2 linked regions of the Medicago truncatula genome follow. The protein of the gene in region 1 binds, or shares a complex with, the protein of each later gene. Links are inferred from orthologs where the notes say so. Each region holds a gene or a part of one and is shown on either strand. Other genes may lie near its edges.

What was found.
Region 2: the proteins of phosphoglucan phosphatase LSF1, chloroplastic (region 1) and beta-amylase 1, chloroplastic are in contact, whole or in part, in a cryo-EM structure (PDB 8J5D), measured with the Arabidopsis thaliana proteins. The link is inferred for Medicago truncatula from reciprocal best matches to the Arabidopsis thaliana genes LSF1 and BAM1. Residues at the interface, in NP_566139.1 of Arabidopsis thaliana: Met72, Asn73, Leu74, Glu76, Tyr77, Met78, Val79, Arg112, Ile113, Met115, Lys122, Leu131, Arg157, Phe266, Pro267, Glu270, Tyr271, Ala274, Leu275, Arg277, Ser278, Gly280; in NP_189034.1 of Arabidopsis thaliana: Glu208, Asp212, Thr235, Leu236, Pro237, Val238, Lys240, Gly241, Arg242, Thr243, Gln246, Asp250, Arg253, Tyr306, Ser309, Ser310, Lys312, Ala313, Glu316, Thr317, Tyr318, Trp362, Gln365, Met366, Asp369.

Annotation. Positions count from the first base shown.
Region 1 is NC_053048.1:13,234,017-13,241,018, reverse strand, and holds the start of phosphoglucan phosphatase LSF1, chloroplastic, read right to left. Parts: upstream 3,005-7,002; 5' UTR 2,946-3,004; coding exon 2,487-2,945; intron 1,515-2,486; coding exon 1,408-1,514; intron 406-1,407; coding exon 1-405. UniProt on the Arabidopsis thaliana protein: Starch granule-associated phosphoglucan phosphatase involved in the control of starch accumulation. Participates in the regulation of the initial steps of starch degradation at the granule surface.
Region 2 is NC_053047.1:35,874,287-35,881,456, forward strand, and holds the start of beta-amylase 1, chloroplastic, read left to right. Parts: upstream 1-4,145; coding exon 4,146-4,738; intron 4,739-7,170. UniProt on the Arabidopsis thaliana protein: Beta-amylase activity. Can use p-nitrophenyl maltopentaoside (PNPG5) as substrate only in reduced form. Can play a minor role in the starch degradation and maltose metabolism in chloroplasts during the night. More active on phosphorylated glucan.

The sequences.
Region 1 (7,002 bases):
AGAGCCTGAATATATTCCTCAAGTGGAAAACTTCCGTGAGCCCAATCTCCATCTCTACTCGCTTCGTCAGTGAAAACGCAAGCAAGTTGTATTGTTTGTTCAGTTAAGGAATTTCTTTCACCGTGGGTGATGGCATGTTGATTTTGATTGCTCAATAACTTGCTTCCATTTGAATTAAGAAACTTTGAGTTGAACGTCGAAAATCCAGAATTCCCACAGCTATCACTAGATGGTTGTAAATTTGATGCTAATAGTGTCTTGTTCCATGTGACAACAGGAACTCGACCTCTATTATATACTATTTCAAGATCATTCGTCTTATTATGCAGCAGTTGAATGGGAAATGTAGATGCGGGCCTCTCAAGAACCAAGCTAAAAGAACTTGTTTGCTCCTTTAGCACCTTCCTGAGGAAACCAAAAGACTGAAAAAAATGAAAACAAAACACTGATGAACAGAATAGATTATGATGATGATGGGAGAGCAACTTTGAGTCATTTCACCCAAAAGAAAAAACTTTGCATCTTTCTATAATATCTTACAACAGAGGGCCAATCTAGTACTTTTTTTCTTACTGCTATAAATCATAATTAATCAATTCTAGGTACTATAAACCAACTCTTGCACATGTTTTAAGTTTAGATAAAGACTTGCTACAACCCCAAATGATAATGTGGGCCCAAATGGGCAATTAGTACATTAGCTGCCCAAGATCATTCTGATGAGGCAAAGAGAAAATGATCATTTCGTGTTATGGATTGTTGTTATAATAGAAGGTGAACAGGTGAAAGGGGGAGGGGTATCTGGGAGAATCATTGAGTTAGTTGTGGGCAGAGAGAGACCATTTGTTCTTTAAAGGAGATTAGCTTTTGGCAGTAGAAATGTGCATGCCTCAGTAATCTCTTTCTTAGAATTTGGGTTGGGCTTCATTCATTCTTACAAATCCAGCTTGTAAGATGAGGATTGCCCCCACTTATAAACTGATGTTTAGGACACATTTCATCTAGTGTTCGAGACAAGAACACCGCATCACAATAGACAGCTACAATATAGTCAAAGTAATATTCGGACTTGGGATGAAGTAGTAAGGGAATTATCTCTTTTCATTTTAAGTAGCAAAAATTTCTTAAATGAGACTTTTTTAAAAGATTATTTGTTAGCATTTCAGTAATTGGCTAAATATTTCTCAGCAATAAAAAATTAATGAGATAAATATATTTTTAACTCATAATCATCTCAGAATTTTGTTTTTAGTATACTTACTTTTCAGTCTCAGCTATACAAAGTTGCATGTTTTTAGTCCCTAATTTATAGACACTAAAATTTGAAAACACATTAAACCCAAATTAACATAAGTTCACCAACCAAACTTGTCCTAAATCAAAAGAAAAAAACATCAGAACACATACTGTGTATCTCCAACATCTTTAATCTCAACAAGACTATTCTGAGAGGAATCACCGGCTTTCTTCAAAGTGTCACCCACCATAATTATCCTGGACTTCTCCGCATTACCCTACAAAAACAATACAAATCACAACAACAACAACAACAACCAAGCCTTATCCCACTAAGTGGGATCGGCTACATGAATCAAACAATGGCATAATGATTTATCATATACCATATTTCTATCCAAATCATTAATCTCTAAATATTTCTTAATAGTTTCTCTTATAGTTTTTCTAGGTCTTCCTCTAGTGATTTGACTAGTCTTCACTTGATCTACTCTCCTTACTACAGAATTTACGGGTCTTCTCTCTACATGCCCAAACCACCTAAGCATAGTTTCCACCATCTTTTCTTCTATAGGTGCTACTCCAGTTCTCTCCCTCTCTAATGTTCTAATTCTATCTCATCCAGTCTTGCCACACACTCAATGCAACATCTTTATCTCTACTACATTAATTTATTTTCGTGGTGGTGCTTGACAGCCCAACATCTTTATGGGACAAAGTTTGTCCCATAAATCAGTTGTTTGATAAATTTCTCCTTCAACTTGAGTGGTACTTTCGTATCACATAAAACACTTGATGCACTCTCCATTTCAACCATCAGTTGTTCGATAAATTTCTCCTTCAACTTGAGTGGTATTTTCGTATCACATAAAACACTTGATGCACTCTCCATTTCAACCACCCAACTTGAATTCAATGGATTACATCTCATATTACTTCTCCGACATTTTGTACTATGATCTAAACTATTTTAACCGTGTAAATTGTGGTAAACACAAATCACAAAAAATAAAAATGAATCATTGATTGTGCACAACACGCAACGAGGTTACTCGCTCTATATCATTATAAGTGTCTCATTTGCAATGTTTCTCAATAAAACATAAGTTATTTTTTCACTAATTTACCCTTTTTTTTTTATCTCAGTCCACAAAATTACTCCACTAGTAGATAAAATTCATTTTATCATTGAAATCACTGCAGAATTTTGAACAAATGAAATGAGATACTTATAATGAGAGAGTGAATACTTTACTAACCCCTTTGGCGAGAGAGTGAACAATGATTTTCCCATCAGAAGTAAGAGCAAACCGAATCCCAAGAGGCTTATCAAGAGTAACAAGATACTCATTGAGGTTCATCTTGAATGCAGAGTCATTATCACCAGACATTGCAAAAACCCTATAGTTTTTTAGCGTTCTAACATTATACCGAAAAAGATGGTGCTTGTTGTAGAAGAGTGAGAGAGAGGTGGGAGAGAATGAAGAAATGTTACTGGTGCGAAGGAGTTGAGGTGAAGGAAGATGGTGGATATTGAATTGGAGAGAAAGCATGGTTGTGGAAGAGAAGAGAAGAGAAGAGAAGAGAAGAGAAAAAGTGGATTTTACTGTTAAGCGTTGATTATGGAAGTGAAGAAGTGAAGCATGTGAGTTTTGAGGAAGACAGAACAGAAGACACGGCACGGGGAGATTGGGGTCAACAAACAGCATGTGAGGTGAGTGTCTTTTTGGACAGATTCCAATGTCTCCGTCTGGTTTCTAAACGGTAGTTTACTAAATTACACTACTAATAGCCAAAACTACCAAGCAAGTTAGAGTATCATGTCGGTAAGTACAACTAATTGTTCTTATTTGGTTTGTACTCGACGAAAATTGATTTTGATAGAATTGAGTTTGAGATAATTGATTTTCGTTATAAGTGAGTTGAATGTAGATTGATTTATGTTTGTTTGCATACATTTTATTAGAAATAATTCTTATGAGTCTCATAAGTCCTAGCTCAACTGGTAAAAATGCCGAAATTGTTGGCCGGACATCATGATCAGAGTTCGAACCCCAATACTTTCATTCTGTATGTGTGAGTTTATGATAGTTTTGTCATCTCTTCTATCTACCAAAAAAAAAAAAGTAATTATTATGAGTTAATGTTGTTTGGATAGTTTGAGTCAACAATTTTGAATGTGTAATGATCAAACTATCATTTTAAAAGAAAATATCACATTCTTATTAGATAATTATTTCAGCTTATCATGCATGGATTTTATTGGTTCCAAAATTCATTTTAAAATAATATTAATTTATAAGAGTTATTTTAATAATAATTTTTTTATCAATTGGATGATTTTTAATATAATACTATAAGCATAAAAAGATGTAAAAAAATGATAAATTATACAATTGTAAACGAAGAAAATATATATATATATATATATTCTTAATACATAATCATAAATTTCTAAATTCTCAAGTGCAATATAATATCGAAAGATTATTCCAAACTAATTATTGGGGGGTGTATTGGATTAGGATTTTAAAGGACAATTTTTGCTTAAAAAAGTCTTGAAGATTTTAAAAGAAATGATTACAACACACTCTCTATCATAACATTCTCAATACAGACTATTATTTTAAGAGAGAGGAGGGAAGAGAGGAGAGAGAGAGAGAGAGAGAGAGAGAGAGAAGAGAGATAGTAAAATTTTAAAAGAAAAACAATCTCAAGAAATCTCATGAAAAAAGACTTTTTCTTACTAAAATTTCACTAGAAAATCCCACAAAATCCATCAAAATCTAATTTATTAAACAATCCTTCGAAATTTGAATGATTTTGGATACCACGAGACTTTTTTTAAGTAATGAAAAATCTTGATTGAATATCTCAAGACTTTTTTAAAATGACAAAGAGTCTTGATTGAATACCACAAGACTTTTTTTAAGTTGCAAAGAGTCTTGATTGAGTACCACAAGACTTTTTCGTAATTAAAAAGTCTTTTAAAATCTCTAGAATCCTAATCCAATACATCTCGTTATGCTTTATAATTTGATCACGAATTGAGTTTCGAGCATGATCCATTTTTGAAGAAGAAGCTACATTCAAACTTTGTAATTGATCTAAGTTAGTTGAACTTTGTAATTTCATCTTCTAATAAAGTTGTGTATTGTCGTTGTTGAGACAACTATTTAAACTTACGTCTCATATTTGAACTTCAGCATGCGACGCAGAATTGCAAATCTATTCTTCCATACCCCAAAAGTTCTTTCAATTGTGAATTTTAAACTTGAGTGGTAGTAATTGAATACTTCGTTATGATTTTCGAACCGACTTGAACGCCTAAAATTAGGAAGATGATAACGTTTATATCTATAGGGACCAATGTACCCTATTGGTGTTGGATAATCATAATTCACCAAGTATTACTTACCTAAAAACATAGTAATTATTAAAATATGACAACCATTTAATTGTTAATATAACAAATCATATCCAATAAGACAATATAACATACCTTGAGGAGGATGCGGAAAGTTAAGGTTAGTATTTGTCAAAAACACGAGTATCATGGACAGGGGCGGAGCTACATTAACTTTAGGGGATTCAAATGAACCCTCTCACTTTTTCAAATTACCGCTATTTGTTATGTTATTTTAATACTTGAACCCCCTCAAATTTGTTGTTCAAACCCAATATCTCACCTCTTTGTAAAGAAAGTTGTGCAGTGCACCTCTATATTGGAATTTTTGGCAGTTAAAGTTGCACACAATGCAATCTATAGTTCAATATCAGCTAGTTGGGCAAACTACAAAGTAAAAATACACTGCTTTATCTTTTTCTTTTTTACAAAAATACACTACTTTATCTAGTAATTGGAGTTACTAATATTTTTGGGTGGGGTTTAGCATGCATAAGGAAAAGATTTGTGCACCATGCAAAAGTTGTGCATATAAGAGCTGAAAGCAATTCTGAACCATTGATATATTAATATTAAATTCAAACGGTCAGGATCTGTTGGCAAAGTGGGAGAGGTTACATGCTGCCATCAAATTGCTTTTGTGCAGGCGGGTCCCACGCGTGGAATAAATCTGAGTATTTAAATGGTTTTTTTGGCAAATGTTCTATTAGGCTTATATAGCAAAATCAGGCCCAATCTTAATATTTATTCCTTCTATGTTATATTAATTTACTATTAATGATTGATAATATTTACTCCTGACATTATTAATTAACAAAGTATTTCTTCTATGTTCATTAATATACTGTTAATGATAATAAATTAAAATATTAAAAATTAAACCCATTCCATTGTCCTGGTTAAATTTATTCCTTTTGATTGAATTTATGTTAGTAGAAAAATTGATGTTAAGGTCAATAAAATTTCTTGTGCTGCCACTTTAATTTAATGTGCTGCCACTAAAATTTTCAAGCATTACACAATTGGCTTTTTGAATAAAAATAAATGGGAAAATACACATGTGGCATGACACCTCCGCGTTGACCTGGTCAAAATTGACCAAAAAGTCTGTTTTGCAAAGGGGCTAAAACATAGGGGTTTAAAATTTAATTTTTTTTAATAGGGGGCCAAAATCGCACCATTGTGAAAGTTAGGGGGTTAAAACTGCAGTTTAGCCTACATTTTATTAGAAATAATTCTTATGAGTCTCATAAGTCCTAACTCAACTAGTAAAAATGTAGAAATTGTTAGGCCGGACATCATGATCGGAGTTCGAACCTCGGTACCTTCAATTTGTGTGTGTGAGTTTATGATGACTTTGTCATCTCTTCTATCTACCAAAAAAAGTAAATATTATGAGTTAATGTTGTTTGGATAGTTTGAAGCAACAAATTTTGAATGTGTAATGATCAAACTATCATTTTAAAAGAAAATATCACATTGTCATTAGATAATTATTTCAGCTTATCATGCATGGATTTTATTCGTTCCAAAATTTATTTTAAAATAATATTAATTTATAAGAGTTATTTTAATAATAATTTTTTATCAATTGGGTGATTTTTAATATAATACTATAAGCATAAAAAGATATAAAAAAAATGATAAATTATACAATTGTAAACGAATATATATATATATATATATATATATATATTCTTAATACATAATCATAAATTTCTAAATTCTCAAGTGCAATATAATATCGAAAGATTATTATAAACTAGGGCTGGAAATTATTCTTTATGAAAATTGGGAAATAATCAAAATGAGACTTCACTCAAAAAAAATTATATGAAATTATATAGTTTTAATGTATATATTAGTGTTTCTTATGATGTTTTAGATGGTGCTACTCAGAAGTTTCTAATAGTTGGATATTGTATTGGACAATGTCACATGAAGTGTGAAGACTGCTAGTAGCCTAATTTGGATGAACCATGATAATTTTTGTATGTGATATTCTTACCCTTAATAGTTTACTATTTGTTTTAAACACCTAACACAATATCACGATCATAAACTTCATTTATAATTTATCCAGAACATTTTGATCATAATAATTATATATGTTTAATATTTAAATTTATCCAGAATATTTTGCTTCTTAATTAATCTTCAATGTTGTTTTATCATTCTACTTCTATATTAATCATACAACTATTATTTAGGGCATTATAGTCGTTGCCTATATTGCTTAAATATTTAACTATAATTTATCATTATGGTCCTTTGATAAAACAATTGCTTAATATATTTAAGACATTCTAATATTATTTGTCTAACTTTTACCAATAATTTTCTTTAGTAAATAAACTTGT
Region 2 (7,170 bases), on another chromosome or scaffold:
ACTTAAAAATATCATTAGTCCCTGCACTTTCAACATTTTTTTATATTAGTCCCTGCACTTTGATATTAGTCCTTGAACTTTTTTTATTTTTAAATACTTTCAATAAAATTATTATGTTTTAATTATTGTTTTGTTCATTATTTTTATTGAGAATGATCATAAAAAAATAAAATCAAAAAATCTTTGTTTTTTCAAGAATCTAATCACATATCGTTGCGACTCTCAGTGAAGAAATTTGTTTTTTCAAATCAATTATTTAATCAACTTAAAAAATTGTAATTTGTTAAGTATTTTACCTTTTTTTTGTATATAAATGCTACATTCTTCTTTTCTTTTAGGAATTTGTCTCAAAATTAAGTTTGTTTTTTTCTTTTTGTCAAGTAGTCTAGTGGTTAAATAAATTCACCGTAAAGATGAATAAGTGAAGTGTCCGAGATTCAAACACCGGCCCCTGCACATATTGTATATTTTCCCTTGCCAAATGAGCTAAGCTCATGGGGATAAATTAAGTTTGTTTCTATTCCAAAGAAAATCTACTTACAAATATCCAAGAACTACTCGTTGTATATATCTTCCATATCTAACAAAATTACATATTGCGTATGAAAAGCAAACAATCTCTAAACAATTAGGTTTAGAAAAATGTTACATCGACATCATTTATTTTCATACACCCTTGTACACCCCATGCAGTAGGAAGAGGGAAGAGAAGATAAAAGAGAAAGTGTGCTTGTGTGGGGTCCACATGACCGTGTCAGATTTTTGTGTGGGTGTCAAGGGTTGTATTGCCACCTAAGGATGTTTATGTATCATTTTTCTTAGGTTTAAGGCTTTAGGTTACTCACGCCTAATAGCTTAGATACTTAAGCAAAGAGAATAGAGTTTAAGATAATTAAAATGATTAGACAAGTATTGCCACCTAAGGATGTATATGTATCATTTCTCTTAGGTTTAAGGCTTTAGGTTACTCACACCTAATAGCTTAGATACTTAAGCAAAGAGAATAGAGGTTAACTCCCTCTGTTCCTTTATATGTGTCGCTTTTGCCCAATTTGCTACAACCAAGGCAGGGCATAACTAGCTCTCTTTTTCCCTTTCTACCCTTAATACTATCATTAGTGTAACTTTTCCTTGGTACTCCACGTTCAACAGAGATGTTACTCGAAATGCATTGCTTTTATCAATCAACCGTTCAACTTAAATGCATGGCTCACATTTTTTTGACAAACGCATGGGAAGCCCAAAAGCCAAATCCCAAAACAAACTATCAATAAAAGTAATCACACGTACTTCAATTTTTTTTCTTCTTTTGTTTCTGAATTTTTAAAAGGAGTAACAAATCAACCTTGTCTCCAACTTAATTTTTTGTTTGAACTTCCCTCCAACTTTTTTAATCAAAATTTATCCCTCCCACCAAATAAAAAGTAAAATCACCAATAGTTGAAGTATATATATGGCAATTTGCAGATTTTATAACTCATCAAATATGGCATCAAACATTAGTATATTTTCATTATGTGATATAGATTTAAATGTTGAATTTACACCTTTGTTAGATCTTAATTTTGATGCAGAAGTAATCTTTTCTCATGAAGAGGCTGAAGAGTTCAGCAATGATATTGGTATTGTATTTGTTCATTTATGTGCATTTAGCTTTGTCACCTTTGTTACACTACTAAAGTTTTCTTATTCTTCATTTTTCTTTAACGTGTATGAATGCTGAGACAAAGTCTTTAGTCATGATTTCTTCCTTAGAGTAAATAGTCAGTTACCCCCCGAAATTATAAGTTTCGTCAATTACCCCCTTGAAATTAACAAAACTTAAATTACCCCCCTGAAATTGCACAACGTTAATCAATTTACCCCTATGTCAAATTTTTCTGTTAGTCAACATAACGTTTTGCAAATACTCCCCCTGAAGTTTTGCACTTATGTGCAAAATGCCCCCTAAACTTGAAAATTTATATTTTGTTTTCTTATCCTTAAAAGTGATTGTATTATCACTGAATTTTGGAGCATATTAGCTAAGTTTTGACGATATACAACCATATATTGACAGTATTGTAGAATAAATTAGCAGTATTTGATAAATCCTACAATAATGTTCAAAACTCAAGAATATTTACAAAACAAACATAAAAATATTTCTTTGTTCCAACATCAGATGTTTTTTCTTTTTCAAGTTGTCCTTAACCCCATCAGAGATCAAAAGGATGGTGGCTATCATGTTTTTTTTATTCTCTTAAAAAAAACATAATGAAATATACATAATATAATATTATTACATGGTTAATGTTTGATCGTTTAAAGGAACATATATGGTTGTATACCGTCAAAACTTAGCTAATATGCTCCACAATTTAGTGATAATGCAGTCACTTTTAAGGATAGGAAAAAAATATATAATTTTTCAAGTTCAGAGGACATTTTGCACATAAGTACAAAACTTCAGGGGGGGTATTTGCAAAACGTCATGTTAACTAACAGAAAAATTTGACGGAGGGGGTAAATTGATCAACGTTGTGCAATTTCAGGGGGGGTAATTGAAGTTTTGTTAATTTCAAGGGAATAATTGACGAAACTTACAATTTCAGGGGATAATTGACTATTTACTCCTTCCTTATTATTTGTTCATTTATTGTCCAAATCATGGAGTATTCTCTTTAGCTTATTTGTTCATGTACGTGTACTCTCGAGTTATTTTCTTTAGTTCAATGATCCTTCCTCTGTTTTTCTTTCATTGTTGTACAATGAACCTTCCACTTTTTTTCTTCATTGCTTATCAAAGCAATTTCTTGTTTCATGGATATTTCCTTTTTCATGTTCATACGTTGGGTGTTTTTTTTTCTTGGAATAACATAAGCATGGTTAGTGTACTGTACATATTAAAAGTGAAATAGTTGTGGAGCTCTATGTATTGGAACAATGAAGAGTGGGTTTATTGCATTTATTAGCTGAAAGAATTTTTGTAGTCTCGATAAAAATGTGTCTGATGGAGTAGAGGAATTGGATTAGGCTAAATGATACTGTGCAATATATGTGTCTGATTTAGTAATTGAGAGGTTAAGGGTATAATTGACATATTACAATCTTAAACTCTAAAAGTGATACTTAAGCAGGAACAATTTTTTTAGCAAATGTGACACTTAAGAAGGAACGGATGGAGTATTATCTAATTAAATTGACCCATTTTATTTTTCAATACAATAATAATTTTTTTTTTCAATTATAACTCTAATTAATACCACTTTCATCACTTTTAATTTAATATATTCTACTTTGCATTTATAATAAGGAAGATTGCACTAATACTTAATAAGACATTCAAAATTATTTTTCTTTCTCTTTCAATTATACATTTTTTTAATATATATGAAACGAAAAAAGAAATTCATTTAAAATGTGACGGAGGGAGTATTAAATAGCTTATTACAATCCTATACAAATCATAAAATATCTCATCATTTAAATGATATATTTATATTTATCTAAAAAAATAGATAAAAAAAATTTCGGACACAAGATATCAAAATTGTGTGTCGACATATAAGTGAATCAAAAGAAAAATCCAATCATGTTTTTTCTTCCAAAAAAATCCAAGTATGTCAAATGAACAAAAACGTTCATCTTCCCTTCCTTCTATTTCCACTGGTTCATCAGTACACGTGCAAATTCCTCAATCTCACATGAATCTTCGCTCAATCTTTCTCTCTCTTCCCTTATCTCTCTCATACACAATCCAAAACCACCGTCACGACACGTGATCCATCACTTTCCAACACGTGTCATCCTTTCACATATTCACCAATCTTTCAGCATCGCATTTTCTGGTATCTTCACGCGTAACACATATCTCACCGTTCATTTCTTCAACCAATCACACCATCTCCACCGTTCCTGTACTCTACCGTCCATCATTCCTCCACGCAACACTCTTACGCGTGTCACTTAACCAACGGTCATATCAAAAATATTAATTTTTTTTATCTTATCTTCAACCCCCCTCCCTTTCCTTATAAACTCTCATCTCTGCTTCTTTCTTTCCATTTCTAATACCCGTGTCCAGCAAAGTAAAACACAAGACAATTTTTCATACACTTTTTCAAATTTCTGCTATACATTTTCTTCCAATTCTTTCAAGTTTGATGGCCTTGAACATGACTCAGATTGGCAGTCTCGTCGGAACACCGATACCGATTGAATCAACATCAACAGAGCCAACAACAGCTTCCATGAACGCAGCAGCAGTATGGAAAACACCAGCAACGAATCTACGTTGTCAAGTAACTCGATCAGAAGTTATAGAAAACGGATTATCACCACCTATGAGTCCATGTAGATCACCGGTACTAAGCGGTACCGGAATCAGACCAGATCTGACATCGGCTGCTCAAGCATTTACCACTGAGGTGGAGAACGAATATGTATCGGGAGGGAAGACGAAGAAAGAGAAGAGTGGAGTCCCGGTGTATGTGATGATGCCGTTAGATAGTGTGACGATGGGGAATGGTGTGAATAGGAAGAAGGCGGTGAATGCGGCGATGGCGGCGTTGAAGAGTGCTGGAGTGGAAGGAGTGATGATGGATGTGTGGTGGGGATTGGTGGAGAGGGAGAAGCCAGGAGAGTATAATTGGGGTGGGTATATGGAGCTTATGGAAATGGCGAAGAAACATGGGCTTAAAGTTCAGGCGGTTATGTCTTTTCATCAATGTGGTGGTAACGTCGGTGATTCCGTCACGTGAGTCTCTTTCTTCATCCTCTTTTAGAATAAAAATAATTGTTGTTATTTAATTTAATTAATATTTGCTAACTATGCCAGTAGATGATAATTATATTTAAATTTTTAGTTTAATTGATAATGGCTAGGATGAGGATAGCAACCATGTTAAGAGAATATAGGAGAGAACACTCCACTTAATTCTATTTTATCATGAAAATATTTTAGAAACAAATATAACATAGTCCACCTTACATGTTTTGTGACAATAATGTGTTAATTTTTTTATGAAATTTGGAATTTGAAAACTTTTGTATAAAATTTGTTTTTAGTACAATTTTTTTTTTTGCAATAATTTAGTACTAATTAATGTATTTTCATTTGATTTATTATTTTTAATTTTAAGGCATTAATTTATTTTAGACATTAATGAGAATTTTATATTGTCACTCAATTATAACCAAAGTAACATTGAAAATATTTGACTTTAATCATAATTACATATAAAATTGTTGTTTGACTTTAGCAATAATTGATTATAAAATCGCACTAATTTGATTTAAGGTATTAATTTGAATTGTGATTATGATTTGTGGATCATGTAAAAAATTTACACCCATTTTGTTTATCAAAATAAAATAAAGTGTGCCTTTACAAAGTCCTAATTAAAAATTCAAAACTAAATGTTTAGAATTTTATTTTTTAAAATTAATTTTAGTGTCTGAATATGTTCGGTTCTACGTTGATAACAATTCATTTAGTCAAACCTCTAGAGTTAGCCACATATGATAAGAATTTATTTAGCACAACCTCTAGAAATAGCCAAATATTATAAGATCAATTTACAATTTCTACAACCAATTTCGGAAAAAATTGAAAAAGAAAAAAAATAGTGTTATAGACGTTCTCGTTTTAGCACTCTTTTATTTTTTATTAGGTGAAATTTATGTGGATCTTATATTTTGAAAATGGATCTCACATAAAGAGGTGAGACTTACATAATTTTTTACATAAAAGTTAATGTTTAAAGAGTTTTAGAAGGAGAGTGTTATTAGCATTTCTCATTAAACTAATCATACACTTAATTAGAAGGAAATTTAGTACTCCCTCCGTCCCTAAATAAGTGACCTATTTGACCATTTTACACAGATTAAGAAAAGTGTAAAGATGAAAGAAAGAGAGTGATACTTTTACTGGGTTGCCCTTGTCATTATTTTGAAACTTTTTCACTTTTAAGTAATGATTATTTTTTTTGTTCCACTACAAACTTTAACATGGGGACCACAAAAAGTATTTATAAGGGGTAAATCTGTCAAATTTTGCCTAGAAATCTGAGAAGGTCAAGTATTGTGGGATAAATATTTTTTACAAATAAGTCACTTATTCAGAGACGGAGGGAGTACCACCCAATTGTTTTTTGGGTCTTGCTAACCAATGCCTTCAGGCAATGGTTAAGGAAACAAAAAATAGTAATTTTACATTGAAAACTACAATTTTCAAACTTTTAAAAAGTTGAATTCATCACTTTTTACTACTTTCCAACACAATATTTTTATTATTGTTCTCTTAACCAATGCCCTGAAGGCACTATTTAACATTTGCCTTGTTTTTTAGTTTTTGAGATATCTCAAATTAGATTATAGTTGTAGCAAGAAAAAAGTTTCAATGAAAACATATTATAGTTGTAGCAAGAAAAAAGTTTCAATGAAAACATATTTGATGTGGTATACCAGTCCGAGAAAGTGTTTTGGTAGATAAATAATCAACTTGTTGAATGGAATATACGGATATTATTACACGGCCTTTGATGATGATTTTTATAATTCTTAGTTATGCTAATGCTCCCTCCGTTTTTTAAATATAAGTAAAATTGACTTTTAAGGTTCATTCATTTAATGATGTATGTGGTTTAAAAGTCAATTTTGCTTATATTTAAAGACGGAGGGTGTATAATTTTTCATACATTAGTCGAATCTGATGTGAGTTTAAAGCTAAAAATGAATGAATTTAAAGTGTGTGGTTTTGTGTGAAGATGAGCTTGCCATGTGTTTCGGGGTTGGACTTTGTATTTTATTTTTTTTTTGCTTCTAAACTTGGTTTTGCTTTTCTTTAGAAGGGAAAAGACTTCACTGGGAAAAAGTAGTTGGAACTTGGAATTGAATCTTGAAAATTGCTGTATTTTGAAATATTATATAAATGTTAATTACATTTCATTTCACGATTTTTCTTTATTGTAGTATTTTGACATTCTTTTTAAACTAGTGATAAAATTATTTTCAATATCCTAACTCAATTGACAAAATATTAAAATTGTTAGGCTGAATAGTATGATCAAGATTCGAATCTTGACCCCTCGCCCTCCCCTCCGCTTGTGTGTATGATTGAATTTCAATGGTTATTTATTATTTTGTCTATTTATTATTTACGTAAAAATTTCTCTAAATTGTTGTTAA